Linked DNA regions of Pelodiscus sinensis. The protein of the gene in region 4 interacts with the protein of the main gene of each other region in a pairwise test. Links are inferred from orthologs where the notes say so. Each region holds a gene or a part of one and is shown on either strand. Other genes may lie near its edges.

Region 1 (7,775 bases), on a different chromosome or scaffold from region 4:
AAGCAAACTTTGCCTATGTAATCTTCTTTACAATATTGGGGGCCTAGGTTTAATTGCAGAATCTTTATTGTTGGAGACGCATGAACCAGAAAGAACCCAGCTTGTCTTTAAGATTTCAGACTGACTTTGTGTAGCTGGAAGTCCCTAAAAATAATCTATTTAACTTGAAAAATGGACATATTTGATCTCGAAATATTTGACACACTAAACATAGTGTTCCAAAATGTCATTTTTATCATAACTCTTTCAGATTAGAACTAAATTTTATAGAATAACACAGATTGTCATAATAATACATGGGTTTGTATAAAAGATGGATGCCTATAATTCCATAATGTATTATTTAGTGCACTAAAGCAATTAGCAGCTAATATGAACACGTCCCAACACAAGGACTACAGATACTACATTAAATTAGGGCAAAACTTATACCAGGGCTGATTATATTACTTCTGAATGAGACTTTATGTTACTACTGACTTTACACAGAGTGGTTGTTACTGAACACTACTAAATTACTTATTAATAAACCACATACAACTGTGGTGCAAATTCCTTTTTACCATGAATACATTCAGGAATAGGTTAAAAAAAAATCAAACTTGCCAAAATCATAAGTGATTTATTTAGATCTGTGAACCTTCAGTATTATTTTATTCATCAAGTAAGTGATTCCTTCCCCAGCTATAATTAAAACAGAGCTATGTAGGTGGTATTTTAGGTATTAGGGTTTTTTACTTGTATTTATAACAGTTAATCTTATCAATTGTGTTAAAATTACTATTAGCTGTCTTATCTACACGTGTTGTGCTTAAAGAGGTCATATAAGAACTAATACTTTCCCCTCTTCAAATGACCGTTCCTTCTAAAATGAAGTATGAAGTAGCCATTCCGGTACTACACAAATTGATAAAAACAATATGGTACATGAAGGTATTTGTATACTGTAGAGTACCCAGAAATATCAAGTACAGTAAACTTCCGATAATCCGGCACCTTTGGGACCCAGGGGGTGCCGGATTATCAGATATGCCGGACTATCGGAAGTGGGGGCTATGAGGGCTCTAGGGTGGTGTGGGGGGGATATCACTCCAAACCCCTCATAGCACCCCCTTCCGATAGTCCGGCTCTGCCCCAGGCATCCCCGATTCAGCCGCTGCTGGTCAGCAACTGAACCTCAGTTGCTCTTGGGGACACCTGGGGCAGAGCAGCTGGGGTGCTGCCGGGTTGGTCCCACAGCGCCAAGGGGCGGCACTACCGGACCAACCCGGCAGCACCCCAGCTGCTCTGCCTCAGGCATCCCCAAGTCAGCCGCTGCTGAAACTGACCAGCGGCTGACTCAGGGAAGCCCAGGGCAGAGCAGCTCTGCCTTGGGCTTCCTGGAGTCAGCCGCTAGTCAGTTTCAGTGGCGGCTGAATCGGGGACGCCGGGGGCAGAGCAGCTGGGGTGCTGCCGGGTTAGTCCCACAGCGCTGAGGGGCAGCACTACAGGACCTACCGGCAGCACTCCAGCTGCTCTGCCCCCGGCTTCCCCGATTCAGCCACTGGTCAGTTTCAGCAGCGGCTGAATCGGGGAAGCCGGGGGCAGAGCAGCTCCAGTGGTCTGGTTGCCCAGAGTACTTCCGGGTTCCTGATGGTGCCGGACCATCAGGAGTGCCGGACCATCAGATGCCGGACCATCAGATGCCGGACCAATGGAGTTTTACTGTAGTAAACAAAGTATGATACTACATCAGAGTAGAGTATAATTACTTAAAACTATAATTACCTTTCTCCCTTCTGGCGTTTCAGATTGCCTTTATACTCAGCCCACATGCTCTTGTCTGAAAAATCCCCAGATACAAAGTCTTGCAAATCAGGTCCATCTTGCAGAAATTCCTTCTTTTCATCTGGCAAAGAACCTGATGCTCTGTACTGGCTGCACCCATGGCTTCCACATACCTAAACAAAGCAGAACTGTATTATCTATTTAATTATAAATGTGCTATATGTATTGGATATATGCTAGTGTACATCTCTTGAGAGGTGAAAGGACTTATTTTAGCTTCATACAGAAGCTAAAAAGTTAACAATTTACTTGAAGCATGTAAATAAATAACAGGAAAGACTTCAAAAACAACAATAGACTAGTAGCACCTTACAGACTAATAAAACATGTAGATGGTATCATGAGCTTTCGTGGGCACAGCTCACTTCTTCAGAAGACAGGAGTGTTAAAAGTCCAGATCCAAGAATAAATAAGGGAAGGCGGAGGGGGGGAAGAGAAGGAAAAGGAGGGGAGGAAGAAAAAAGAGAGACAGTGAGTAGATAAGCTTCAGAGCGGTAGCCGAGTTAGTCTGTACAGTAAAAACTTAAAAAACAACAAATAGTCTAGTAGCACCTTAAAGACTAACTAGTTGTACCTACTTGTACAACACTCCTGTCATCTGAAGAAGTGGGCCATGCCCACGAAAGCTCATGATACCATCTACATCTTTGTTAGTCTGTAAGGTGCTACTAGTCTATTGTTTTTTTTAAGTCTTTCCTGTTACAGACTAGACTCAGCAATCCCTCTGAAGTAAATAACAGTTCATGATGGGCAGGCACTGGAGGAAGAGCAAGCTGTCCATCCTAAAATTTAAGATAATAAATTATTACTGCCTAATTATTTAGAACTACTGTGGAAGATTTATTTTCACAATTTAAATCTAAGTTCCATCTTTGGAAGTTTGTGCTCAGCTCTCCTCGATTTAAATGGGAGCTACGAGCACATACCCGATAGCAGAACTTTTGCTCATTTTCGAGTACAATCATTTGAAAATCCAGAACAGGCAATAGGAACTCCAATCAGCAGATGGAGACTGGAAAATAACATTTCCTGGTCTCATTCCCTATAAAGGATGCAGCAAAGCCCTTAAGTTTCAAGAAGTGAAAATCAAAACAAGGGAAGAAGCTGAACATGTAAATGTGAACAAAGCAATAAGCAATAAAGTGGTGTCTCTGTCAGCACTGCTTCCTGCAGCTCCCATTGGCCAGCAATGGCAATCTGCGGCCAAGAGGAGCTGCTAGCAGCTATAGCTGCGGACTCAAAGGTAAATAAAGCATCTGGCAGCCTGCCAGGGTCAAGCCCTGCTGAACCTCGTCCAGCCTGCAGGCCGTTTATTGCACAGAGTCTGGGGTCAGCTCCGTGCGGCACTACTTGGTATTCAAAGGGGCAGCGCTGCATGGACTCTGGGGTCAGCTCCATGCGGTGCTGCTTTGAAACACTGAGGTGACATTTCAAAGGGGTAGTGCCACATAGCTGAGCCTGGGATCAGCTGTGCAGCGCTGCCCCTTTGAAACATCACCGGAGCGTTTGTGTAGAGCCCAGGGTCAGCTGGAGACTCCCCAGTTGACCTGGGCTCTGAGTGGCATTTCAAAGTGGCAGCACAGCATGGAGCTCAGAGTCAGCAGGGGACTCTGAGTCCCTCCTTAAACCAGGCTCCATGAGGATGCTTCCGTTTTGAAATGCACAAAACCGCTGGTGGGGACTCTTGTACATTTCAAGCTGGCACCTGCATGCAGCCTGGAGTCAGCGGGACTTCCTGCTGGTTCTGGAGCTGCATGTGGAGTTCCGCATTCCCAAAATGTAAATCAACTACTCAACTAATAAATTACTTAATATTTAACATCGTTACTCCTCCTGGCATCTCAAAGCAGAGTTCAGCTGCAGGCATAGCGTGGGAGAGTCCTGCCATTACTGCTACTCTTCCCTCTCCACAACTGAGCTCTCACACACCACGGAGGATGCAGAAGAAACACAAAGCAGCAGTGTCGCAGTCAAAATTCTTCTTCTCAGCTCCCTGTAACTTGAACAATCTAATTCCCATTTTTTTTCTTTTTACCCCTCCCTTATTCGATCTGGGCTGTTAATGCTCCACTCATCTGGAGAAATGGGTTGTGCCCACGAAAGCACAGGGACAGGAACCAGCCACTCGGTGCAGAGCCACGCCCGGTAGCAGGAGGGCTCGGTCTCAGGGGGACGAGACGCGGCTACTAGCCAGGCGAAGCTACAGCCACCAGGCAGGGCGGGGGCGATGCACGGAGCCGCGGGGCGAGCGGGAAAGACCCGGCCGAGGGGCGGCAGCTGCCTGGACCGGGCCACTCTCCAGCTCACTCACCCGCCCCTGGGGCCCCAGCAACAGCAGCCTCAGGCTCGTCATGGCGGCGGCGCCACAGCAGCGGCCGCGCGGGAGCAGCGCCATGACCCCTGGGCGGGGAGGCGCCGCGGCCTCGGCCGCTCGCTTTCTGTCCCCCTCCGAGCCCTGAAGAGCCGTCCCGATCGATTTGTTCGGAACTCACCGGATCTGCCTGCCCCCATGCCCTTTTTGCGCGGGCCTTGATGCGCTCGGCGGTCGATCGCTCCTGCCTCGGAGACGGTTGGCCGAGCGCGATGACGTCAGCCTAGGCGGAGGGCCTACAAGAACGCGATGACGAAAGACGCTCTCCCTTTCCTTTCGGTCTGCAGCGAGGTGAGGAGTGTTTCTGGTTCGCAATCTGCTGCCATCCGCGGCCCCGGGGCCCTCTCGCGCTGCGCCGCTGCCGGGCCCGGCCCGGGGGGGCTCTAAGGGCCGTTGGGGCCGCCCCGGAGAGGCACTTGGCCCCGGCCCGGGGGAGAAAGCCCCGGGCACAGTCACCCCCCCCCTCCGGGAAGCTAGGCCGGGAGCCGGCGCTGGTGCCCTTTTCCCGAGCCGCGCGGGGGCTGTCGGGCCGGGTCTTAGTGGCGGTGGCCGGGACGGGTCGGAGCCCGCTGTGTGGAGCGGCCGTTGCCTTGGCCTGTGGGTCCCGGTTCGGGCGGGCTGGGCAAGGCGCCGTGCGGGGCCGCTCTGTTGTCTCTGCCCTCACCCTGTGCTTGTCGTTGTAGAATGAAGACCATTCTCAGTAACCAGACTGTCGACATCCCGGAGAAAGGTACAGCCCCTTGCTAGTTCCACGTAGGCCTTGCGCGCTCGCCCTGCCGCGCGTTAACTCGCTTTCCTTGTCTTCCAGTCGACATTTCTCTGAAGGGCCGGACAGTTATTGTGAAAGGTCCCAGAGGAACCCTGCGCCGAGATTTTAACCACATAAATGTAGAACTCTCCCTCTTGGGAAAGAAGCACAAGAAGGTGAGCACAGTCAGGGTCTCTAGGGCACTAATTTGGAACCCTGCTCTGCCATGAACTTCCTATGTAATCTGTAGAAAGTCACTTAACTGTGCTTGTTTCAGTTTTTGTCTGTTTATTTTGACAACAGTGCTTTCTGACTTCACTAGCTGGTGTGGGACTAAAGATTGTGGGCTGCTCAGCTACACTGATAGGGATCATGCAAGTTTCTAAGAGGCTTGGAACTTGTTGGGTGTTAAGGGTTCAGTTCTGCTCTGCAGTCAGGTATTATCAGTGTCTGTCATTAGGCATGCTGTTTTTGGAGGGGTGAGGGTTCAGTGTTAACATTCTGTGGTATGTATGTAGTTAGAAATGTGGAATGAACTAATCCATTTTCTGAAAGGCTTTTGGTTTCCAAAATAACAAAGTATTTAATTTTAAACTGTAACTACATGTAACTAGCTAGGTAACCTAGAATTCTTCTGCTGTGATAGCTCAGTACATCTGAGTTAAATTGTCTTGGATGTGTCATTTAATGACTGTATCTGCCTGGTCTGCTCTTTGAAATGTGTCTTCCAGTTATGCTAAGCAGGACATGACTTTGGAGGAGTGCTCGTTAGTACTTTATTATGTACTCCTTTCCAAGTTCAGTTTCTTTTTGGTGGTGATTACAAGGAAGCTAGATAGAAAGCTTGATTCTAGTTACTGGGAAGGAATATTTCCAAGTTTCTCTAAGTAAAGCACCCTAAAAACATTTCCTTAACCTTGAATATTTTTTGAATGAATTTTTGACAAGATGAGAATTAAAACCCACATAAAATATTTGAGAGGTGAAGAGTATGGCTTAGCACATCTGTGTTTTTGTTTTAATGTATAGATTAAGAAATATGCCACTGTCAGGGCTGCTTGCTGATATGTAAAATTGGTGAATACTTTTGCTAATGAACAAGCACAAAACTTGCTATCCATAACTATCAGTGTGAAGAGGTCAGAGATTGGAATGTATATAAAAAGGAAATGAGCTTCTTACCTGGAGAATCCATTCAGGAAAAAGTTTATGGACCAATGCTAGGAAGTTCACTTTACTGCCCTGTACTTTCCATGTACAATAATTGGCACTCATACATATCTGTCATCTGAGTGTTTTAAAGCACTTTGCATCAATACAGGTTAAACCTCTATTATCCAGGACTCTGGTCTGCCAATATCTGTGGTCTGGCAGGACCACAGAGCCCCAACTGACCAGCTTCAGGAACAGGGCTGGCAGGTGGCAGCGGACTAGCCAGCAAGGTGGGGGAGCACAATCCTGGCACTGTGGGAAGTGGAGCCCTAGCAGAACTGTGGGGCAGGGAGCAGGCTGGGAGGGGAGCCTTGATCTTTGGTCCAGCAAACTCTGAGAGTGGTCCTAATGATGCCAGACCAGGGAGGTTCCACCTGCATTCTTAAGTGTTAAAGCCTCCATTTTGCAAATGTGGAGATGGATTTGCTGACAGTTACACCAAAACCAGTGTAATTCGTTATAGTGTTGAAGCAAAAAATCACTCCTCTCTGTTTAGGCAGCTAACAAACAGCTTTATTAATTAATAAAGCACAGTATGAGCCAAACGTGGTCCCAGCAAAGCTGTTAATACAATTAATTCTAGTATTTTTATACCCTTAGCCAAACAGTTTGACGTCAGGACATCCAATTACAGAAATCTTTAATTACATTTGGAAAAACAAAGTCTTATTAACAAGATGGTGGACAGGTACAAGGGAGTACATCTCCTGTCCCAACCAGCCCAATTAACACATACCAATAGCCCATCCTGTAGGCCTTTTTTTACGGGGTGACAAAGTTTACTTTGGTCTATGTGCTTGAGAGAAGCTGAAATGGTTTCTGATATACAAGATGGCTTCTAGTTAAATATAAAAATGGTTTCTACAGCTTCTACAATAGGAAACATGTTAATCCTGAATTGAAACTGAATAATTGGTTTAATTTTTATTATAGCTACGTGTTGACAAATGGTGGGGTAACAGAAAGGAGCTGGCAACAGTTCGAACAATTTGCAGCCATGTTCAAAACATGATCAAGGGTGTCACATTGGTAAGTTTTATTTTGAAACAGAATATTTGTCATTTGAGTCTTCAGAATGAAGTTGTCTGATATTATGAGAATTTTTTAGCTATGCTAAATGAAAGATGCTATGTACAACAGCGTGAATACCTTTGAGACTCAATTCTTCAAAAGCTGATCTAACACTTCATCATATTTGTCCAGTAGCTATTAAATATAGTTCCTAGTTTTGCAGCCTGCTTGTTCTATGACATTTTAAAGTTCACTTGTAATACTTTTTTATTTGGTTACTCCCAGGGCTTTCGTTACAAGATGAGGTCTGTGTATGCTCATTTCCCTATCAATGTAGTTATACAGGAAAATGGATCACTTGTGGAAATCCGTAACTTCCTGGGAGAGAAATATATCCGCAGAGTGCGCATGAGACCAGGTAAGTATAGTTAGAGGTCTTGTACATTGCTAATTGAAGTAGAAAGTGTAGATCTGAGCGTGATGGGCTAGGGCTTATGGCTTGCCACTGTCCACATCAGACCAGAAACAAGTGAGCTCTAAGTAAAAGAGTAAAAAACATCAAAATGCATATAGTTGCTAAAACATACACACTTCAAAGATTCCCTC
Region 2 (7,597 bases), on a different chromosome or scaffold from region 4:
GATTTCCCCCCAGAAATGTATACCCTGACTGCTCAGCCCTGTAAGTCCATTATTCCTTTAAAGGAATAATATACACACAACTTGCCTCCCTAATGGAGTTACACAGACTCCAACTTAAACCCACCAGAGTAGATACAACATTCGTTAACTACACAGAGATGTAAGTGATTCTGAGCAATAAACATAAGAGTCAGAGATGGTTACAAGAAAAATAAAGACAAAACACTTTCTAGTGCCAAACTATATGAGATACAAAGTAAAGTTTCTCACCACATGCTTCCAATGGCATTGCTGACTGACTTTTTCAGGTTAGACCCCCTCCCCAGGGTGCAGCAGCTGATTCCTTTGCCTTCCCAGGTGCAGAGAATGAGATAAACAGGGAGATGGAGAAGCATGGGGGGGATGCTTTGTATGGTTTCAGTCCCTCTTTGAAAAGCATTTCCAGCTGAGACCCAAGAGACAGGGAGCTTGGGGGAGGCAGGAGATCTCATGCTCTTTCTTAACATGCAGATCTCATTTAAAGGGCCGTGGTGCAAGGACCCGTCAGGGTGTGTCTTCTCTGTGGAGGAGGAGGTGGGTAGCAGGCAGTTCCACAGGGTGGAGCAGGTTGGCCTCATTCTCCTTAGAATAACACAGCCCACTCCATGGACTGGGGGGAAGGACTGGATGGGCACTGAGGCTGGGATCCACCTGTGTTCAGAATGGTCCCTCGGAGCAAGTAGGGGTTTGCCCAGCTGGGAGTGCCCTGACTCTTCTATGTTTGTGCTTCCTCCTCCAGGATACCATCGCAGGAACCTGCAGCTTGCAGTTCCACAGGTGAGGAGATGCCTACAGACCAAGACAGGCTAATACAGAGCTGGGAATAGAACCTAGGAGTCTTGGCCACACCTGCTTACTCCATTTTACCCGAACAGAGTTCTGCAGTGACGCAGAGGAGCTGAGAGCAGACCTGGAAATGGTGCTGAGGGAGGACCAGAGCCTGGATGACCAGGACGACTTCTACGACTGAGGGAGGGATCCAGCACAGGTGGGTCCCAGTGAGACAGGGAAGATCTGGGATGTGACTATCTCCACGGCCTTGTGGGACACAGAGACAGTGTTGGGAAGCTGGCCTCTAGGGGAGTATCTAGACTACAGGGTTTTGTCAACAAAAGTGGACTTTTGTCAACAAAACTATACCTGCGTCTACACTGCCACTGAGTTCTGTTGACATAACGTCGACAGAACTCAGCAGTTTTGTCGATGGCTGTAAACCTCATTCTATGAGGAATAACACTTTTTATTGACAGAGTTCTGTCGACAGAAGGCATTACTGCATTTACACTGTCCTTTGCGTCTACACTGTCATGTCGACAAAGCAGCTTGCTTTGTCGACAGAACTGGATGTAGTCTGGGCGCTCTTTGTCAACAGAAGCTTTGTCGACAAAAGCCTGTAGTCTAGACATACCCTAGGGTGGGAGTGACACATGGACTGTGGATTCCCCTACCTTGCAAAGTATGACCCCTCCTGGGGCAGCCCCTTGAGTTTAGGGGAGGGGTGAGCTGGGAAGGTTCAGACTTGGCACCACTAACTTTGGAAGGAGGGCAGAGTGGAGAAGCAGGAGTTCTGAGGGGTACTTCAGCACCACATCCTCCCTCTCCTCCCAGAATGCATTATGTTACTCCTTCCATGGACCCCCAGCACCCACTTTCATCTTGCGAAAGCTGGATGTAGATTCATAAATGATAGCTAGGTTTGCAAAATGTTTGGGGCTGGTGTAAAAAAAAAAAGCGAAATGATTTACGCTTGCTAAGGGTCTGGCCCTTTAGCCCACCCAAGCATTGACCTCGGTTCTCCTATCCCTTGGCAGCCATGTAAATCCGGAGTGACTGCATCCCTGTCTGCGTGGTTATGCCAGAGTGAAATGAGTGTTGGTGGGAGAAGACTCAATGCGGCTGGATGGAAATGGAGTTAATGTTCATGTTACAGTGCAAAGGTGAAATTAAAGCCTACCAGGAGCTGAGCAATGTGGTTGCAGCACCTTTGAATTTGAAATTGTACCATTTGTGTTTCACTATTTGCTCTCCTGCTGCTCTGGACCATTCAGATTTTCCTACGAAATAATACTAGTCCTTGAAGCTGGTGGAAGGTTTTCCAGATCAATGTTTTTCCAACCAAAAATGGCTTTTTGACTAAATGAAAATCCCATTCTCTCCCTCTCCCCTCACACCCCACCTGCCCCTTTAAAAAGCTATATTTGTCAAAACATTTCCAGGGAAAAACTAAAATTTGCAACTTTCAACGACAACAAAAAGGTGTGGGATTTTTTTGTAGGGAGATGAGGGGAAATGTGGATCAGGTTTGTTTGTCAAGCAGCTGTTCTAGTTACTTTAAGAAGGGCCAACAAATATTCCAGAGTGTCTATGTGCAAGAGAGATTCTATGTTGTTTTTTTATTACAACGAGTAATCCTGTGGCACCTTAGGGTATGTCTACACTGCATTCCTCTTTCGAGAGAGGAATGCAAATGCAGGTGAACTAAATTGCAAATGAAGAGCGGATTTGAATTTCCTGTACTTCATCTGCATAATCGCGTCCGGGCGCTATTTTGAAATACCTTATTTCGAAAAAAGAAACGCTGTCTAGATGCGGTTATTTCAAAAGAAAACCCTTCTTTCAAAATTACCCTTACTCCTTATACAATGAGGTTTAAGGGTTATTTCGAAAGAAGGGTTTTCTTTCGAAATAACCGCATCTACACAGCGTTTCTTTTTTCGAAATAGGGTATTTCAAAATAGCGCCCAGATGCGATTATGCAAATGAAGTGCGGGAAATCCAAATCCGCTCTTCATTTGCAATTTCGTTCACCTGCATTTGCATTCCTCTCTCGAAAGAGGAATGCAGTGTAGGCATAGAGAGACTAACCAATAGGGTGTATCTACACTTGCAGCCTAATTCGAACTAGGGCTGCAAATGTAGGCATTCAGAATTGCAAATCAAGCCCGGGATTTAAATATCCCACACTTGATTTGCATCTTCTTGGCTGGGCGCCATTTTTTAAATTTACAAGCCCAAAGTAACTGCCCGTGTCTACACGCGGCAGTGAAACGGGTGTTCGAAATAAAGCCCTAGTTCGAACTACCTGTTATTCCTCCTGCAATGAGGTTTAACAGGTAGTTCAAACTAGGGCTTTATTTCGAACGCCTGTTTCACTGCCGTGTGTAGACGCGGGCAGTTACTTCAGGCTTGTAAATTTCAAAAATGGCGCCCAGCCAAGAAGATGCAAATCAAGCACAGGCTATTTAAATCCTGGACTTGATTTGCAATTCCAAATGCCTACATTTGCAGCCCTAGTTCAAATTAAGTTGCAAATGTAGACATACCGCAAAATACATATAGTATCATGAGCTTTCGTGGGCAAAACCGACTTCTTCAGATGAGACTGAGTGGAATCACTCTCCTATGGTCTCCATTCAAGTTCATCGGAAGAAGTGGGTTTTGCCCATGAGAGCTCATGATATTATATTTATTTTGGTTAGTCTCTAAGGGTGCGTATACACAGCCCCCTTATCCTGAAATAAGCTATGCAATTTGCACTATGCAAATTGCGTAGCTTATTTCAATGTTTTTTCTAAATAAAGCACTATTCTGAAACGTCCCTTATCCCTTGTGCAATGAGGTTTACAGGGATGCCTGACTAGCGAGCCTGTTATATTTCGATATAATGGGCTTGCTCTTAAGACAATCGATATTTTGGGAACCTGGAGGTATCCCGAAATAGCTCCACTGTGTAGACATAGCCTAAGGCACCACAGGACTATTCATTGTTTTTTAAGTCACAGACTAACATGACTATGCCCCTCTGAGATGTTTATTGTATTGTGAGTTTTGTGATATTTGTTTTTTCCCTTTAAACTCCAGCACCTGCACTCTTGGAATTACAGAAGAATCTCAGCATTCATTAAAATAAGTAATTAAAAGTCAGTTCTCCTGAGTGTGGAAAAAAGCTTTCCCAAGTGCCCCGTAAAGGCTCAGAAATCAGAAGACAAAAATCATCCCCTCACGTATTTACGTTAAAAACGGATCTTTGCCTGGGTTTTCGGGCCACGCTCTTATGGGCATTTAGGCTTGGCGTTGCTCAAGACTGCCTCTGTATGGCATGTACAGGGAATCTACCTTTTGGGGAAGATGCCACACGTTTGCTAGAAAGCCTGGAGGAGGCGAGAGAAGGCACTGGGAACCGAACACCTTGGGTTACAAAGCTTCAGGGGGTAGCCTAGTCAGTCTGTTACAGACAAAAACAACAAATGGTCTGGTAGCACTTTATAGACTAACAAAACATGTAGATGGGATCATGAGCTTTTGTGGGCACAGGCCACTTCATCTGAAGAATGAAGTATTTTGGGGGGTTATAAAGAATAACGAGCTTGGATGGCTCGAGCTGCTCCCTGGAATAAACCAGAGCACTACATGTTCTTGTCTGTCTCACCTGTTTTGACATGGGAACTACCTTTCCCGGCATGCACCTGTGAGGGGAGACACCCGCTTTCAGCATGCACACGGAGGAAGGAAACTACAACTCTTGGAGCATGCCCTTGGAGTAGCACAGGAAGAGCTAGTGAGAACTACATCGCCCGGCATGCATTTGGGCGCGCACGTGACTGGGAGGGAACTACAGCTCCCGGCATGCCGTTCGCCCAGCCACTTGCCCTAGTATGGCTGCGCCCAGGCTGGGCTGAGCGGCGCGAGCGCGGTTTATAGTGGGGCTGAGCCGGTGAGTTCCGAGCGCGTGGGGCGCACAAGGCAGCAGCCGGGTCCCGGAGGTGGGAGGCAAAGGGGTGAGGTTCAGGGGTTTGAGTAGTATGGTGGGGGGCTGAGCTGTGTGCTTGGGGTGTATGGGGGCCCTGGGGATTGGGGGGCTGAGCTGTGTGCTTGGGGTGTATGGGGGCCCCGGGGATTGGGGGGCTGAGCTGTGTGCTTGGGGTGTATGGGGGCCCCGGGGATTGGGGGGCTGAGCTGTGTGCTTGGGGTGTATGGGGGCCCCGGGGATTGGGGGGCTGAGCTGTGTGCTTGGGGTGTATGGGGGCCCCGGGGATTGGGGGGCTGAGCTGTGTGCTTGGGGTGTATGGGGGGGCCCCGGGGATTGGGGGGCTGAGCTGTGTGCTTGGGGTGTATGGGGGGGCCCCGGGGATTGGGGGGCTGAGCTGTGTGCTTGGGGTGTATGGGGGCCCCGGGGATTGGGGGGCTGAGCTGTGTGCTTGGGGCGTATGGGGGCCCCGCGGATTGGGGGGCTGAGCTGTGTGCTTGGGGTGTATGGGGGCCCTGGGGATTGGGGGGCTGAGCTGTGTGCTTGGGGTGTATGGGGGCCCTGGGGATTGGGGGGCTGAGCTGTGTGCTTGGGGTGTATGGGGGCCCCGCGGATTGGGGGGCTGAGCTGTGTGCTTGGGGTGTATGGGGGCCCCGCGGATTGGGGGGCTGAGCTGTGTGCTTGGGGTGTATGGGGGCCCCGCGGATTGGGGGGCTGAGCTGTGTGCTTGGGGTGTATGGGGGCCCCGGGGATTGGGGGGCTGAGCTGTGTGCTTGGGGTGTATGGGGGCCCCGGGGATTGGGGGGCTGAGCTGTGTGCTTGGGGTGTATGGGGGCCCCGGGGATTGGGGGGCTGAGCTGTGTGCTTGGGGTGTATGGGGGCCCCGGGGATTGGGGGGCTGAGCTTTGTGCTTGGGGTGTATGGGGGCCCCGGGGATTGGGGGGCTGAGCTTTGTGCTTGGGGTGTATGGGGGGCCCCGGGGATTGGGGGGGCCGAGCTGTGTGCTTGGGGTGTATGGGGGCCCCGCGGATTGGGGGCCGAGCTGTGTGCTTGGGGTGTATGGGGGCCCCGCGGATTGGGGGCCGAGCTGTGTGCTTGGGGTGTATGGGGGACCCGGGGATTGGGGGGGCTGAGCTGTGTGCTTGGGGTGTATGGGGGCCCTGGGGATCGGGGGGCTGAGCTGTGTGCTTGGGGTGTATGGGGGCCCCGTGGATCGGGGGGCCGAGCTGTGTGCTTGGGGTGTATGGGGGCCCCGGGGATCGGGGGGCCGAGCTGTGTGCTTGGGGTGTATGGGGGCCCCGGGGATTGGGGGGCTGAGCTGTGTGCTTGGGGTGTATGTTAGAGTGGTTGAGTAGGGGGGTATCTGTATGGCTGTATAAGAGAGCTGGGAGGCACTACGACCATCAAGGTGCAGTGGTTTCTAACTTTGTTGTGGCATGAGCCACAACTTGCTGAGGTCAATGGCACCTCCTCAGTACAAGAGGTGCCCTCCCTAGTGCCAGCTTGGTGGGTGCTAGAGAAAGCTGCCAGTTTCCCTGGGGCTGGATGTGTCCCTGTGACTTCCCCTCACCTCTGTACTCACCTCGCAGCCGAGACTCACCATGTCAAAAATCTCCCGTGCTGCCAAAGCTGTGAAGAAGGTCAATCCCGGGAATGTCATCCGAATGATCATCAGGGCAGGGCAGGCGGTGCCGGGGCCTCCCCTGGGGCCTGTCCTGGGTCAGGTAGGCCAAGCCCCTCACTATATGTGTGAGCTGGGGTGGGGAGTGCAATGCTGGGAGGGTCGGGATGTTTAACGAGTGGCATGGGTTAATGAGGTTCTCTGCAAGGTCAGCGGGTGTGTCTAGGACAGCGATGCTCCAAAATAATTCTCTCCCCAAGGTTCTTGATGCCTCCTATAGCCACTCACAAGATGGGGTGCTCAAGGCTGTGTGATCGGTGGGAGGGATGTAATAGTGTAGTTAACCAAAGCTTATCCATTAATGCTATAGAGTAGACTACATGTGTTTCCCCACCCCCACCCCACCAGTAAATTTTTTAGCAGCTGGCCAGCAGCCCGGCTCAGTCCTTGCTTGTTCCAGATCCAGGACCTTCCCCCGCTGCAGCTCTGTGTTTAAAGTGTATTAGGAGCCAGGCAGATAGCCCGGCTCAGTTCTGGCTTGTGTCGGGTCCAGGAGCTCAGACCCACCCTGGATAGGGGCTGCTGCCTCTGTATCAGAGGCAACAGCCGGGGGGCAGCAGGCAGCCAGTATGTGAGGGAAGCTGGTTTTTAAACTGGCTCCCCTTATGGACCAGCTCCTGCCTGGCACCCCCCACTGCTGCCGCTGACACAAAGGGAGTCTGTGGCTTGGAGTCTTGGTGCAGCCCAGGTGTCTTTCTCTAAATCTTCACTCCAGTCAGCAAGCAGCTCTGGGTAGGATCCCCGGGGGGGATTAGCCAGCCTGCGTGATACTCAGGGTCAGACGGCAGGAGCTGAACGGGCCCTTCTGGCCTTGACATCGGACTGCACAAGCACCTGCTGCACCCGATCCCACCGTGTAGCTCCCATACTGCCCAGCACGGTGCCTGCGTGTTGTCACGTTTGCCGCTGCAACCCTGTCCATGCTGCTGGGGCTCCAGGCTCTGCTCAGACAATGGCTAAAGGGCTGAAATGCTCCGCTGGCTGCAGCTGCTGCTTGTACAAAGGTAGAGCCCAGAGGCACCGTTCTGCTGGGCGCTGTGCACACCCCTCCCCTCTGCCCGGCTGAGATCCGCCCGGGCGGTGCAGGGGCTTGGATCATACCCAGCACTGCACAGACTCACCCCAAGAGA
Region 3 (7,996 bases), on a different chromosome or scaffold from region 4:
CGCGGAGCACAGGGGCAGCAGGACAGCCCAGACGCGCCGTGGCTATCCTGCTGCCCTCGGGCTCCGCGGCTTTGCTCTGCTCTGCTCCCCGTCCCCCAGGTCTGCAGACCAGGGGGAGGGGGAGCAGAGTAGAGCAGAGCGGCGGAACGACAGCCCAGACGCGTCTGGGCTGTCAGCTGGCCGCGTGCTCCGCTCTGCTTCCCCCCCCCCCCCATGGTTTGCAGACCAGGGGGAGGGGGAGCAGAGCGGAGCAGAGCAGAGCGGCAGAACGCGCGGCCAGCTGACAGCCCAGATGCATCTGGGCTGTCAGCTGGCCGCGTGCTCCGCTCTGCTCCCCCCCCCCCTGCAGATCAGGGGGAGGGGGAGCAGAGCGGAGCACAGCAGAGCGGCGGAACGCGCGGCCAGCTGACAGCCCAGACGCGTCTGGGCTGTCAGCTGGCTGCGCGTTCCGCCGCTCTGCTGTGCTCCGCTCTGCTCCCCCTCCCCCTGGTCTGCAGACGGGGGGGGGGGAGGGGGGGAAGCAGAGCGGTGCGCGCGGCCAGCTAACAGCTGGCCGCGCGTTCCGCCGCCGCTTTGCTTCCTCTCCCTGGTCTGCTCGAGACCAGGGAGAGGAAGTGCCCTGTTCGTAACTGCGGATCCGACGTAAGTCGGATCCGCGTAACTCGGGGACTGCCTGTACTGACTAAAGACTCTGACTGCCACCCAGAGCACACCATGCTGGCCATTCCCAGCCCTTAGAGCTGCTTGGAGTGCATGCACGGTGCTCCAGCAGTGATTTAAAGGACATGGGGCTCTGGTTGCTGTCACTGAGCCCCAGGCCCCAGAGCAACTGACCTATTTACCCCTCACCCTCACTTCCCGTAGAGGGCCTGTAATATTGAAATATTGCATTTTGGAATTTGTCCCTTTGTCTTCCTGCTTGAAAAAAACGTTGAGCTATTGGATAGTCTTACATTCAACAAAGTAATTCAATGTTCTACAATGCAATGAAGCTTATCTACCATCTCATCCTGTGAGCGTACTTTATTGGCATTTTGTACAAAAATGTTATCCTAGGAGAGATACTGGATACTCTTCAGAATGCTCACACAGGAAATTTAAATTTTCAGCTCTGATAAATAAGCACGATATTGAGTCAAGGGCCTTCTCTTTTTCTAATGCAGTGCTACGATAAAGCACTGCAGCAGTTAACGCCCAAACGCACAAGCAAAGAACAAACCTCTAAATAGCACTAATGTTTGTGGAACCCAGAACAAGATGAGTCCCAAGTGAGTGAAAGGAATTGACAGTGGAGGCAGGAATATTTTCAGGTGGCAAGAGAAGGCTAACAGACAGCTTGTTTCAATTTATATTTTTGGAAAATATACAATCAGAGTTTTGGGGTGAAAGAGTATATGATAATAAATTATTAACAGATTACTTCCTTGAGAAGAATTTTCCAATATTATCTCAGGAAAAAAGCAGATTAGAGCATTTAGTGTAGAACTTCTCAAAGAAAGCATCCTTTCAAATGCCTTATATAACCCAGTGGTGAATCCTAGCCTTCCATTTTATAGATCAGTGATTTTTTTGTTTTAACAATAGATGATAATATAAAGCACAGGTTTTATTTCACTGGGACAACTGCCAAGCTATTGGTGTTGTACTGTAGGAATTTGACTGAGCAAATACAAATAGATTCAAGGGAAAAACCGGATCCTCAATCTTTACATAGGATTCCACAGCGCAGTTCTGTGTAAAATAAAATAAAATAAAATAAAATAAAATAAAATTAAATAAATAACAATCAACTGATGTAGCTCCCCAGTGAGAACTTTTAAGGTCAGTCTTGCTCTTTTTATTGCTGGGAGAACAATTTGTTACCAATATGTTTGCCAATAAATGGAAAGCATGAATTACTGCAGCTGTGTTCTGAATACTCTATTTATGATATTTCTGAGATAGCTATGCATCTAAGACCTCAATTCAGCAGTCCATCCTCCCAACCCAGCAAAACACTCCAGGCACCTGATAACTCCCTTTGACTAAATCTCTGGAAGTACTTTGCAGGAATGGGATGGATGTAGATACATGCTTAAATACTTTGCTGAAATTGAGGCATTAGCAGGTATGTGCCAATACAGGGTCCAGTCCTGTGAACTTTTGCAGAGGTCAAAAGACCTATAAAAGTTAATGGGACTGCTAATATATGCATAAATTATTCACAAGTGTAACTATGTAAAGGATTCAGGTCACAGTCTGCAGCTATATCATTAAAAACTTTAGTTGCTTTAAGTTAAAACTTGACTGTGAGATTAAGTTAGTCAGTGGAAGACTGTATGTGCCAAAAGCAAACCAACACAAATTGAATTAAATAATTTATCTTTTCAAAGGTAGTTCAACATTCTGATCTGAAGGGATATCATTTTGATGTTAACATACTTTACCACAGATGAAAGTTTACTTAGAAATGTACAAATACAAAACAAAACACAACTAGCAAACAGAGATTTTGTGGATTAAGGCTGATACTATCCTTTCCAACCAGAAGAGTATTTTAAAATCAGTTAGGAAGAAACACTGTTACACTGCAATTAAGTTACAAGCCTTTTCCTATGGATTATGAAATTGATCAGCATTTTAATTTATGAAGAGATTGAACTAAACGTATGAAGTAATAAAAAGTCACTGCTGAGGCCATGGTAGCAAGTAATTTCATAATTATAAAGACGGAGATACTAATTGATCCTTAAACTGTCCTTTCCTCTAAAAGAGTACAGTATTTTGTTCACATGATCAGTTCCTTTCACATTTGTTTTTTAGACAAATATGTGGCCAACTGAAGATTAAAAGTCAGAACAAAATGTTTTAAACTCACCTTTCTGTCTTACTTTCATTTATACAGAGTTGTGCTGCTGCTGCTAGATTCCTGCAGGTGTAATTTAATGAACTTTGGCAGATTTTCTGCCCAACAATGGTGTTTTACCTTTCAGTCTGATTTCTGTAAGAAGAAAACTCTTATTGGTCGCACCACATAAGGAAATGCCTGACATCACAAAAAGTAGAAAAGACAAGCTTCAGTGCACACTCATAAGCAATTTAAAGCTTTGGCAAACCAGGCCCTAGGCTGCTCACACCTGCATGTTCAGACTTATCAGATAGCAAAAGTCATTTGTAGATTTTAGTTTTCAACATACATTCCATTTGATTTTTGTGCTTTTCACTATAGTATAGCTTTTCCATCTGATCAACTTTTAGTACAGGTTTAAAACAACTGAATGAAAACCTGTGGACTGGTTCAAGACAAAACTTTGTTTTTGTTTCCCCCTGAAGAAGGCAGATGAAGCCAGAAAAAACTGAGCAACCCTAGCTCTGCTTTTGAACTTTTGAAATGTAACTTTCATTCAGTTTAGTTTGAGAGCTTTGGACACAGACCTAGAATCCTAGGTTCTAATCCTTGCTCTGCTGCTGGCTTGCTGGATTCCCAGACAAATCATGTATAAGATCACTTACCCCTTTTTCTGCTTCTTAATAGTGCATAAAAGAGGCCCTTTAAAAAAAACTAATCAAAATATCAGGTATGGGTTTTCCTTGTTTTTGCTGAAGGGCCTCTGGGAAGAATCAGAGAATGTTGTAAGATCTTAGGCCTTAATTGAAAAGACAAAGATGTTGAATTTGAGCAAAAGCTTCCTTTATATCCATAATGTTAGTCAATGCAATTATAGAGGTGTTAGCAGAAACAGCTAAAAAAAAGACATTTAAAGACAGTTTTATTAGAAATCATTTCCCCCTCCCCCACAATTGTTCAACTTGCACTTTTTTGGCTCTTGAGATGTCACCATTTCACTAATGTCCAGTCATCAGAGAGTTTCAGGTCTAGATTATTTCTAATATGAAAAAGAAGCCTTTTTGAAAGAGAAAAAGAGAGAGAGACCTTTCAAGCCATATTATATAAACATACAGCAGCAAAAAAAGACTACATCTATTCCACTCTCTCCTCTGTCCCTCCCCCTCCACCACTTTGCAGGTCTCCTTTATCCTAACTATCAAAGTTTATCCTCCATTAAATGGGTATATTTACCTATTTCACTGGCTTTTAATTCTTCTAATGTTTTTTCAGTAGCAATAGATGAAAAGTACAATGTAAGTGCTGACTATTATTTAGAATACCATTTTTGTAAAGCAAAACCACAATTAAAATACACGTATATATTCATTTCTGAAAGACCATCACAGTACCTTTCCCATAATATGATAGTGGTACGTAAGCAAAACACATCTCTCTTTCTTTTCAATTCATACTTGAAACAAACAAAAAAACCATTATCCACTTGGATAGTAGGATACTCGGTCAAGTGCTAGCGACCAATTATAGGCTGCTAGTAGAATGGTTTAAATAGCTCAGTTTAGAACCATGCAAAAAGAAAATAATGCAAAACCCACATTCAATTTAAAAGAATAATCCTTTAGGAGTCAGCAGATGAAGAATCAGAACTAGAATGACTACTCTTTTAAAAATTAAGAGCAAACTTCATAATCTTGATTTCAAGTTTGACTCTTCCATAGCAAGCAAGCCAACTAAACCACCAAAAAAAGAGTATATTTTATGGATAAAAATTAAAAAAGAGAAAATACCATGAATATCAAAGAGATAAAAAGCTGTACAGGTATACAGCATTGCAGTGAAATGACTACGTATGAATGTTTACAATAAAAATAAAAACATCTCTTTTGTCTGAAAGAATATTTTCATTGGCAGAAAACTAATGTAGTGATTACATGAATCATTACAAATACAGGGCCTTCAACTCATAATTGTTGGAACGAGGAGTGTGGGAGATGCTGCAGCACCCTGTGATTTGAAATGGTTTCCATTATACACAGAGTTTACAGTTTGATTGAGTGGCTTTCAGAACCCCCACTATAAACACTCTTCCAGCATGCCTGCTTTTCCCTAAGAAAGATTAAAAGAAGATGTTTTCATTAAAAAACACTGATTCTACAGCTATTCTACCTCATGTCGAAACAAAAATTCAGTTGTCACTAATGAAAATGTTTGTGACTAATGGATCTTTGCATCTGTCCTTTGATTCATACTGTAAGATGCTTTGTTTATCCTTCAAAATACACTAAAAACTGAATGGCAGTGAATCACTACAAAACCTAAACTAAATATTTACTAATGAAATGTCATCGTTATATACAATTGAGTTTTAAAATGGTATTTAAACTACACATACTTAACTGTGAGCAAGTGCTTAAGTCCATCCTTATTCAACAAAGGGACTTAAACATATACTTTGACTTCCACAATGATTAAGCACATGCTTAAGTGCTTTGTAGAATCAGGGCCATAGGGCTGGTGATGTGTCTTTATGTGAGGTCCTATTTTAAATCTGCCTCTTATTTACCCAGGCTGAGTACACTAGATGCTTCTTTGAACTAATGAAATTCCACCTAATGATTTAGAAGTTCACTTGTCGGATGCAAAATCAAAAGAACAAAAATGATTCATTACAGTTTTACTGTCTTTAATTTTAACACATTATACAGTTTGCATCAATTGACTGAACACACAACATCTGATTTTAATGTGTAGCCTTTCTAATTGAAGTCATTCTATACTTCCAAACTGCTGAAAGTATTTACATCAGGACAGCATAGTGTACATTCAGTTATTCATTTCCTTCTGTTAAGTTACTTCAGCTTCTGGTATATTTACTGGCACATGGTGTAGACTCAGTATACTACAAATTAGTCCAGTCAAATTACTGAAAATTGTAATAAGCAAAATGTTAGATAATATTGTTATAGGATAGGTGCTATTTGTGTTGAGCTCTGATGAGAGCATTAGTTTTTTTCCCACGCAGCCTCAACTTAAGTTTCTCCTAACCTTAATGGTGAAGTTGCCTTTCCTCACACACATCGGAACTTTCTCTAGGAAATTCTATGGAGGCTAGGGTCAGATTGACACCAGTGTGTGTTCATCTGTGCAGCTTGCTGATGGGCACTATTACAGCCCATCCTTCCAACTGTAGCCAATAGATATCTGTAACTTTGGACTGGCAAAAACAGTCCCTATAATACTCTATGCTGGGCTAGGGTGAAAGGGCATGGAGCTAAGCTGTGCAAAATGGAGAAGATGCAAAGTCACTTGAATAATAATTTCTTCAGTCCCCTTCACTGCTCTTCTGCAATGTTGGATGCTATCTACAAGTCCAAACCCGGGGATGAATTTTCCTGAGTGCCAAAATTTGCCTTCAGCTCTGGGCATAAATGTGGGGGGAAAAATCTCTTGATTCTATTGAGTTGTTTCCATACATACCAGGTCTGAATCTGGCCCACTGAGTTTGGAAGGGCAAAGACAAGTCTGGAAATGGTCCCTCATCATCCAGTTTAGTAACGGCTTTAGGTTTAAAGCCATTGTCTTTGTTTCTATTCTCCTCACCCATCCCTTCTTTTAGGGAATTAACATTTTAAATCAGATTTAAAAACCTGGGCATAGTTTTCTGGTGGATTGTGCCACGTTGGAAAGGGAGTTTACTATGGATTCTCTCATGACCACTGAGCATGGTGTACCAGTCTGCTAGGAGATGGCACTACGGACTCTCGTTTAACAACTAGTCTAGTGATGCCAGACTAAAAACACATTGTACTGTGAAGTTCTATGAAGGACCCTCACAACTGGCCCTATGTGGTATGTATACCCAGCAGTTAAACACCCAGGGCTAGCCTGGAACAGCTGACTCGGGCTCACAGGGCTGGGGCTGTAAACTTGCTGGGTAGACATTCAGGCCCAGAGTGGACTCTGAGCTCTGCACCTGGTGAAGTAGAAGGGTGGATTCTGCACTGAGCTGCACACCTACACAACAATTTTTAGCCCCATAACCTAAACCATGGGAACCCAAGTTAGCTGTCTTTTGTGCCAGTGTACACATGACTTTAGAGAGCTTATCTCAGTGCAGTTTGCATAATGCAAGATTTTCTGTGATGTGAATTTTTATGGGAAGTAAAGTTTGTCTTGATGTACAGGTCTAACGGCTTTAACAAAAAGCCCATGGAATGAAAGGAATCTTTTCATTGATTTCAGTGGGATTTGGATCAGGCTCTACCAAGCTGAAATGAACTATGTGGTGTATATGTTGCTATATAATTTATGGCTTAATTTTCTCTATACCATACCTTTACATTTCTGGAAAACTGCTGTCTGCAGAGGCAGTAGTTATTTTATGAGGTAGAGTGGATGCAGCATGCTATCATGTAGACTTCAGTATTATTCTTTGTTCCATTACTTTCCTTATTCTAAAATAGAAATGCCTAGAAAATGAAATGCAAGATTAGCTGGTACAATTGGCTACTCACTGATATGCTGTACCCCTTTTACAGTTATTTGTGATATTTGCACAATTCATCATTTTTTGTATGAGATATTGCACTAAATAGGAGTAAAAGACCCCAACCATTATTTAAATTTATAAAATACTAGCAGAAATACCTGGCGTCGCCTGAGGAAAATATAGTAAAAAGTGTGATGAATGAACTACGTCAATGACATTAACATAGCATATTTTATTGGAAATACTTTTCTCTTATATATTACTTTAAGAAATTAACATAGCTAGTGATGTGCTTACAAAATGCATTTACATTTAACTCATTTCTTGATAACAAAAGGTGTGGTGAATGAACTACGTAAATTATGTTAACATAAGATATTTTATTGGAAATACTTTTTCTGTTATCATAGGGAAAAGATCTCGTAGTTGCAGTTTATGTGACACGCTTAACAGAAGAGTCCAGCAAATGCCTATGATCAGGCACTACTAAAAGCAAATTAGTGGCCCAATTGGGGCTCTGGGGGCCCAACTGGGGGTCTAGGGGAACTGATTTCGAGATATAACCAATACAGTTATTTAAGTTAGGAAATCAGTAGTATCTGTGCAAAATTTTGTGTTTCTATGATCAGGCGCTACTAAAAGCTAATTACCAGTGGGCCCAATAGGGGTTCTGGGGGAAC
Region 4 (7,862 bases):
GTGGTGACCGATGGGAGGGGGCATGTCTTTGGTCTGCACCCGCCCCCATCCTAGCCCAACCCTCCTCCCAACCCGCGATTCCCCTTTTATCCCCCCCATCCCCGTTCCTGCCCCCATGGCCACAGGGCCCTAAACTTCGAACCCTCCTCCCCCCCCCGCACAGATCCCCCAGAGGATCTGGAGGCTGCAAGTGGGGCCTCCCCGTGAAGTCTCTTCTCCACGAGGGGATGGCTGTGCACCCCGCTATATGAAGTGGATCCAGCCACCCTCTCCATCTCGTGGGGGGCTGGGGGGGCCCTCGGCCCGCCCCCCGCCCCGCAGGACGTAGTTCTGACCCTCGTTGTTGTCCCACAGCTCCTGGCCCCCCACGTGGCAGTGGAGGGCGAACTCCAGGGCGCCCCCGGGGGGCAGCGGCAGGCGGAAGGCAAAGCGGTCGGAGGGGGGGCCGGCCAGGAGCCCGGCGGGGGGCCCGGCGTAGGCGGCGGGGGCTTCCCGGTAGCTGGCCCAGCCATCCCAGGTGTAGCGGACGCTGACTCTCTTTTCGTAGGCCAGGTTAAGGACCCGCAGGGTCCCCGCCACCCCCAGCCCCCCGGCTCGCACCCCCTCGAGGCACACGCCCTGCGCCCCCAGCCGTGCCCCGAAGTCCGGCAGTCCCAGCGGGTCCCGGAAACACGGTGCCAGCGGCAGGCGCCCTGCCTGTGGGTCCTGGGGGTCCTGGAGAAAGCCAGGGTGGGGGGAGAAAAAGAAAGAGAAAGTTAATGTGCAGTTTTCCACCTTGGAGCCCAACGCCCCCTACTGGGGACCTGCCCCCCAACTCTTGTGCACATCCCTCCACTGTCTTCTCCTCCCGTATGCTCCCCCCCGCTTTCTCCTGCCCCCCCCCATTACCTGGCTGGGCGAGAAGAGGGGCCGCAGGGGGGCGAAGTGGCGTAGGGTGTCCTGCCGCAGCTGGGTGTGCACACGCTCCGGGACCTGGGGTAGCTCGGCTGGCCAGTAGCGCCTCACGCTCACCAGCTCCAGCCCCAGGGCATCGGCGAAGCGCACCCGCTTGCGGGCGCCGGGGCTGCGGCTGCGGGAGCCCCCCCCAGGCCCTCCGGCCGGGGCGGAGCGGGCCCTGCGGCGCCGGTGCCCCCCTCTGCCACCCGCCCGGCCCTGGCGTCCCCGCGGCCTGGGCCCTCGCGCCCGCCCCTCGGCCTCTGAGTCGGAGTCGTCGCCCAGGCTGGGCCGGACCGTGCGGTAATATGCCCGCTCGTACAGCCCCGCGATGTAGCTTAGGTTGCGTGGGATGTCACTGGCGGGCGGGGGGGCGCGCGCCATGGGGCCTGGTTCGGTCCGCGTGGGCACTGGCTTCTTGTGCCGCTCCTCCCGGGTGCTGAGTCCTTCTGCGACCGTCCCAGCCCCTGCCTCGTTCTGTCGCTCTGCTTGGAGGCTGAGTCCTGCGACCGTCCCAGCCCCTGCCTCGTTCTGTCGCTCTGCTTGGAGGCTGAGCCCTGCGACCGTCCCAGCCCCTGCCTCGTTCTGTCGCTCTGCTTGGAGGCTGAGCCCTGCGACCGTCCCAGCCCCTGCCTCGTTCTGTCGCTCTGCTTGGAGGCTGAGTCCTGCGACCGTCCCAGCCCCTGCCTCGTTCTGTCGCTCTGCTTGGAGGCTGAGTCCTGCGACCGTCCCAGCCCCTGCCTCGTTCTGTCGCTCTGCTTGGAGGCTGAGTCCTGCGACCGTCCCAGCCCCTGCCTCGTTCTGTCGCTCTGCTTGGAGGCTGAGCCCTGCGACCGTCCCAGCCCCTGCCTCGTTCTGTCGCTCTGCTTGGAGGCTGAGTCCTTTTGTCACTGGCCAAGGCCCTGCCTCATTGTATTGCTCGGTCCAGACGTTAAGTCCTTCTCTCACTCCGTCTGGGCCTTGTTCTAACTGTCAGTCTGAGCCCTGCCTGGCTCCATCGCTTTATCTGGCCGTCACTATCGCTCCACCCAGGTGCTGAGTCCTACCGCTGTGTCTGGGCCCTGCCTTGTTCTGTCGCTCTGTTTGGGAGCCAACTCATTCTATCACTCCTGGGCTCTGGCTTGCTCTGTTGCTTTATCTGGGGTTTGAATCCTGCTGGCTCTCTGTCCACTCTGCCGCTCAGTCCATCTGGGCTGTGGCTTGTTTTATTGCTCCGTCATGGCGGCGGCTTGTTCTACCGCTTCCTTGTTGCTGCCTTCCTCCGTTGCCTCTTCTGGAGGGTCCGAGTCTCTCTCTCTGCTGAGATCTGACTCGTTCTTTTGCTTGTCACAATCTTCTGTGTTTTTTCCTTCCAAAAATTCTCCTTCTGTTGCTCCGGCGGGGCGCTTTCTCCTACACCTAACTCACTGCCTTCTGCCTTCCTGAGTTTCTGAGGCTCCGTCTCCGTCTGGCCCCTGCCGTCTTCTATCTGTTGGCCTTTGCCTGCTTGTTCCTTTCCTCCTCAGAGTCCGAATCTCTCACGCCAGCCAGATTGGTTTGTTCTCCATGTTCTGCCAGGGACTGGTGGTCTCTCTCTCTCCGTCCGGGGTGCCTCTCGTTCCGTCGTTCCTGCGCCGTCTCCTCCTCTTTCCTCTGATCCCGCTGCAACTGTCTGCCGCTTTCCTCCCTTGCGGACTCTCTTCTTCTCTCAGGGCTGCCTTCGATCTCTCCACCGCAGCTGTCTCATTCTCTCCTTGCCATCCGTCTTTTGGTTGCTCTGGCTGGGCTCTGTGGCTCCGAGGTGGCTTCGCCCGGGCGCGCTCTCCGTCTCTTTCTCCTTCCTCCTCTTTCCTCCGGCAGCCACCCCTCCCTTTCTAGTGTCCCTCCATGTCCAAAGTGGATGGGGCGGTTACCGTAACGTCCCCTCCGCCCAGCCTCCTCTCCTCCCTGTGCCCAGGGATCCCCCTTTTTACCAGCCGGGGCGGGGCAAAGGCTCCTCCCAGAGTTAACCTGGCAGGGACCCAGGCGTCCGGCAGTCTGGGGCCGGGGAGCCAAAGGGCCGAAAATGCTCCAATCTGGGATCAATAATTGATGAGACCAAAGGCAGCTAATGGATCCTGGGAAGCAGGCCAGGAAATGGGGGGGGAGGGGGCAGGAGGGAGGTGGGAATGGGGGGTGGGGGAGGGGGCAGGGTTGGGGGGCAGGAATGAGGGGTGGGGGCTGTGGGGCAGGTGGGAGGTGGGGGAGGGGGCAGGGTTGGGGGGGTGGGGGTGGGGCAGAGCTGGGAAGGGGAGAGAGGGGACCTGGCAGGTGAGGGGTGGGGGCAGGGGTGAGGAGGCGGGGGTCAAGGACCAGAGTTCAAAGGTCGGGGCAGTCTAGCGGGCACTTCCGGGGTTAAATGAGGGCCAGGGGGGTCAAACGCTGGCGGGTCAAAGGTCAGAGGGGCGGGGCCGTTGCGCAGCCAATCAGCGGCTCGGGCGGAAGGGGTCGCAGCGGCGAGGCGGGGCCAACAGCCCCCACCAATCAGGAGGCAGCGCGCCGGAGGGGGGGGGGGGTGAGGCGGCGCTGGGCCAATCAAAGGCGCTAGCCTCGCCCTGGAGCCTCCGGCCAATCCCAGCGGCGGGCGCCAATGAGGGGCGGGCGCATGCGCCAATGGCGTTGGAGTGATGGCGGGCCGGCGGCCAATCGAAAGCGTCGGGTTGGCCCCCCCCGAAGGCGGCCAATCACTTTCGAGCGTGTCGGTGACGGGCGGGCGTCGGCACCAATGGCGCGCGAGCCCCCAGAGCCCTTCCGCCAGGATCTCGCGCCGCAGCCAATCGGACCGGCGGGCTCCTCCGCCAATGGCGCTGGAGACCAGGCGGCTCGGGAGCCAATCAGGGACGCCGGCCGGCCTCCGCCGCTCGCCGCCAATCGGGGACGCGGCCGCCCGCTGACGGACGGGCGCCGGCGCCAATGGCGCGCGAGCTCCGGGGCCCCCGCCGGCCCGCCCCGCGCGGCAGCCAATGGCGCGCGGCGGCGGGGGCGGGGCCCGGCGGCGGCGGCCAATGAGGAGCGGCGCGCGGCGCGGCGGCCCGGGCAGAGCAGCAGGCGCTATGGCGGCGGCGGTGGCGGCGGCCGCGCGGGGCAGCGCCGGGGGCGCGCGCGGGGCGGGGGAGGGGCCCGAGGGGGGGGCCGGCCCCCCCGCGCCGCTGGGGGCGGAGCCGGGGCCGCGCGTGCGGCGCGGGGGGGAGGGGGAGGACGAGGGGGGGGAGCTGCTGCTGGACGGGGGGGGCCGGGCCGGGGGGGGCGCCCGGGGGGGGCCCCCGCACCCGCCCCCCCCCGCCGCCTCCGCCCCGCGCGCCGGGCCCGGGGGGGGCCCCGCCCACCGCCCCCCCGAGGAGCTGGAGGAGGAGGCGGGGCTGGGCGAGGGGGACCCCGGGGACCCCGCCATCGAGGACCCGGTGAGCGGGGGGAGGGGCAGGGGGCATGTGGGGGAGGGGCGGGGGGCTTGGTAGGTGGGGGAGGGGCGGGGGGCTTGGGGGAGGGGCAGTGCTTGGTAGGTGGGGGAGGGGCGGGGGGCTTGGGGGAGGGGCAGTGCTTGTTAAGGGGGAGGGGCGGGGGAATGCGGGGTGGGGCACAACTGAGAAGTGCCCCCTGTGTGGGGGGGATCTAGCACGGGATCTGGGGGGTCAGGGCCAGGATAGGGGGTTGGAGATTCAGTGGCAGAGGGGTTGTGTGTGGGTCAGCATTCAGGGAGTTTGGGGGGCTGGGCAGCAGGGAGAGCCGCAAGGGGGGACTAAGGGCAGCGCTGAGGGGGGATGTTGGCGAGGGTTGTCAAGGGGGGGTGTTAGTCTCAGCCGTGGGGGGTCCCCCCAGCTGACCCCCGTGCCTCCCAGGAGCTGGAGGCCATCAAAGCCCGGGTGCGGGAGATGGAGGAGGAGGCGGAGAAGCTGAAGGAGCTGCAGAATGAGGTGGAGAAGCAGATGAACATGAGCCCCCCGCCAGGCAATGGTGAGGACCCCCCCCCGTGTCCTCTTTAATTTCCCCCTTCCCCCCAGAAATCCCCTTGGACCCTCTGCGGGTGGCGCAGCCAGGGCACGCCTGTGAGCAGCACAGCCATGATTTTATTTGTGTAGGTCCTACGTAAACAGGAACTCTCTTCCTCCCCTCCCCCGCTCTTCCTCCTGGGCCCCTGTGAGTGGTGGGGAATTCTCTGTGTTTGGGAGCCTCCCTGCTCTGGGGCGCATTTGGCACAGGACGACCTAGGTAAATGCTGCTATTTTATTTCTGTAGGGCCTGCATAAACAATAACCCCGCCCCCAATTCCAGCTGAGAGCCCCTTGTGTATTGGGAAGTCTAGAGACACTGAGGAATTATGGCCTCCTGAAAGCTCTTTGTGTAGGACCTACCTAAACGCCACCATCTTCTTTGTGTAAGACCTAAGTACCCAGTACCCCCCTTTGGACTGTGGGGGTGGTGAATCTAGGAGACATTTGGGGGTCACAATTCTGTTTGTGTAGGGCCTATGTAACCAGTAGCTTCCCCCCCCCCATTCTCTTTCAGACTTCTGGGGGGTGGCAATGCTGAGAGCCACATGGGAATTGTGCTTGTTGGATTTTTTTTGTAGGACCTACATAAATACATTTTGTAAACGCCGGCCGTTCATTTGTGTGGGTTCTGTGTAAATGGTGACCATCCTTCCCCTTCAGCCCTCTGGGGCCTCCCAGTGCCACACTCCTGTGCTCGGAATCATTTAGGTAGGTCCTACGTAAATGTTGCCCTATTGGGTTGTTTGCGTAGGGCCTATATAAACACAATTGTTTATGCATCTAGCCACATGAGTTATGCCAGGTAAAGACAGTGCAGGAAGGGGGTGCTCCCCTTCCTATTCTGAAAAAGGGAGGGGCCCCTGGACAGATTTGGGGTACAGCCTCCCTCTCACTAACCCCCCGCTTTGTCTTCACAGCTGGGCCTGTCATCATGTCCTTAGAGGAAAAGATGGAGGCGGACGCTCGGTCCATATACGTGGGCAATGTAAGTGGAGGAGCCATGATGAGGGTGGGGGAGGTTTGGGGGGTTCCAGGGACCCTGTTTCTCAGCCCACGCCCCCCTTTTCCAGGTGGATTATGGGGCGACGGCTGAAGAGCTGGAAGCTCATTTCCACGGCTGCGGGTCCGTCAACCGCGTCACCATCCTGTGCGATAAATACAGCGGGCACCCCAAAGGGTGAGTGAGCTTTCGGGGGCTCTCCTGGGGCGGGAGGGGTGGCTGGGTCCCTGTGCTTTTGGGGTGTCTAACGTGGGATCCCCCTACCCCCAGGTTTGCCTACATCGAGTTCTCCGACAAGGAGTCTGTACGCACCTCCATGGCGCTAGATGAATCCCTGTTCAGGGGGCGACAGATCAAGGTGAGTCCTGCACCCCGAAACCCGGGCCCTGAGCCCCAAGATTGGGCTCAGATCCTCTCCAGGCCCACAGCAGCATTGCCTCAAAGCCCTGTACCAGCCAGAGATCTGTCTCTGCCCCCCAGAGCCTGCCCCACCAACCAACTCTCCTCTGGTCCCCCTTCTCCCTGTCCCTGGGGTGCTCCGACCCTCCTCCTCTGCCCCCCAGGTGATCCCCAAACGGACCAACCGGCCCGGCATCAGCACCACAGACCGAGGCTTCCCCCGGGCCCGGTACCGAGGGCGCGGTTCTGGCTACACCAGCTCCCGGGCCCGGTTCTACAGCGGATTCAACAGCCGACCCCGCGGACGCTCATACAGGTCTGGGGGGCCGGGCCGGCGCAGGGCAGGACGCCTGGGTTCTCTCCTGGCTCTGTGAGGGGAGTGGGGGGTAGTGGGTAGAGCAGGGAGGGGCTGGGAGCCAGGACACCTCGGTTCTTTGGTTGTATTGTCTCTTCCTTTCACCCCCCCCCCCGGCTTATTAACTCGTTCCCTTCTTCTCTCCTCTGCAGGGGCCGGGCGAGAGCAACCTCATGGTATTCCCCTTACTAAAAAAAGTGTTTTTTGGGAAAGAAAAGGAAAAAAAAAAAGAAAAAAAAAAAAGAAGAATGTGACAGTGCTGGAGCAGCCCCGTGGGGGCGAGCCGTGGGGCGCGGTGGGCGGGCGGGGCTGACCGGGGCCAGGCTGGTTCTCTGAGCAGGGTCCTCCTCTCTCCTCCTCTGCTCCCCCTCTCTCTGCGGGCGGCCCCATCGCTTGTCCGCCTGGGTCCTTCCTCCGGCGCGTCGCTTCTCCCCGTCTCGCTCCGGGCGCCCCCTTCCCTCCGGATCCCCCCTCAGCCCCCTTCCCTCCGGATCCCGTCTCAGCGGCGCCCCCTTTCTCCGCCCGGGGCTCCCTTGTTCAGGACACGACCGGATCTTCCCATCTCTTTCCTTTTCTTCTCCCCACGCAGGGCAGGACACACCCCCGGCCCTGCCCCTTCTGCCCCCGCCCGGCTCTTTCCCCTTCTCCGTTCCCTCCATCCGGGCTGGGGCTGTTACCTGCCGTATTTCAGTGTCTTTATCTTTGCAGGTGGCTTTAGCCTGAAGGAATTGTCGAGCCGCACGAAGCTCTTGCGACCAGATTAAATATGGGGGGGGCAGAGTGGGGGGGGCTATTTCCTCCCCCCTTTATTTTAATTTCCAGGCTGGGGGGTGGGGCTAGGGCAGGGGGGAGGGGGGAAAAATAAAAAAAATGTTATGAGGGTGGAAAAAAAATAAAAGATGTTTTTTGGAAGAAAGAAAAGGGGGTGAGGTGATTTGTGGGGGCAGAACCCTGGGGCGGGGGAGCAGGTACCAGCACTCCTGGGTTCGTAGGGATCAAAGTTGTATTTGCCCAGGGGCTGGGCTGAAGCCCTCCTGGCCTCCCCCAACTCACTGAGGGGCCCTGAGCTGGGGGGGGTGGGAATAGGGATCACATGAGGGGTGGGTGAAAAGGGCCCTTGAGGTTGGCTGCTGGGGTCCAGGGAGGGATCCCAGGAGGGAGGGCCCGT

Evidence for each region.
Region 1: the proteins of HOMEZ (region 4) and RPL9 interact in binary tests that used the Homo sapiens proteins (3 or more experiments, as listed by UniProt). The two-hybrid records come from large-scale screens. The link is inferred for Pelodiscus sinensis from reciprocal best matches to the Homo sapiens genes HOMEZ and RPL9.
Region 2: the proteins of HOMEZ (region 4) and MRPL11 interact in binary tests that used the Homo sapiens proteins (3 or more experiments, as listed by UniProt). The two-hybrid records come from large-scale screens. The link is inferred for Pelodiscus sinensis from reciprocal best matches to the Homo sapiens genes HOMEZ and MRPL11.
Region 3: the proteins of HOMEZ (region 4) and LNX1 interact in binary tests that used the Homo sapiens proteins (3 or more experiments, as listed by UniProt). The link is inferred for Pelodiscus sinensis from reciprocal best matches to the Homo sapiens genes HOMEZ and LNX1.

The regions. Positions count from the first base shown.
Region 1 is NC_134715.1:92,988,906-92,996,680, forward strand, and holds the start of RPL9 (large ribosomal subunit protein uL6), read left to right. Parts: upstream 1-4,768; 5' UTR 4,769-4,882; coding exon 4,883-4,928; intron 4,929-5,006; coding exon 5,007-5,122; intron 5,123-7,091; coding exon 7,092-7,187; intron 7,188-7,454; coding exon 7,455-7,587; intron 7,588-7,775. Other genes in the region: LIAS (lipoyl synthase, mitochondrial), read right to left, coding at 1,768-1,940, 4,139-4,227, 4,263-4,338.
Region 2 is NC_134721.1:32,294,476-32,302,072, forward strand, and holds the start of MRPL11 (large ribosomal subunit protein uL11m), read left to right. Parts: upstream 1-4,595; 5' UTR 4,596-4,753; intron 4,754-4,796; exon of another isoform or gene 4,797-4,817; intron 4,818-6,375; 5' UTR 6,376-6,387; coding exon 6,388-6,510; intron 6,511-7,597. Other genes in the region: uncharacterized protein LOC102453925, read left to right, coding at 779-816, 915-1,009.
Region 3 is NC_134715.1:85,860,307-85,868,302, reverse strand, and holds the start of LNX1 (E3 ubiquitin-protein ligase LNX), read right to left. Parts: upstream 3,014-7,996; 5' UTR 2,858-3,013; intron 1-2,857.
Region 4 is NW_027465928.1:42,000-49,861, reverse strand, and holds the start of HOMEZ (homeobox and leucine zipper protein Homez), read right to left. Parts: upstream 3,006-7,862; 5' UTR 1,318-3,005; coding exon 889-1,317; intron 715-888; coding exon 601-714; intron 1-600. Other genes in the region: PABPN1 (polyadenylate-binding protein 2), read left to right, coding at 4,821-4,902, 5,858-5,925, 6,011-6,117, 6,211-6,298, 6,504-6,655, 6,847-6,886. UniProt on the Homo sapiens protein: May function as a transcriptional regulator.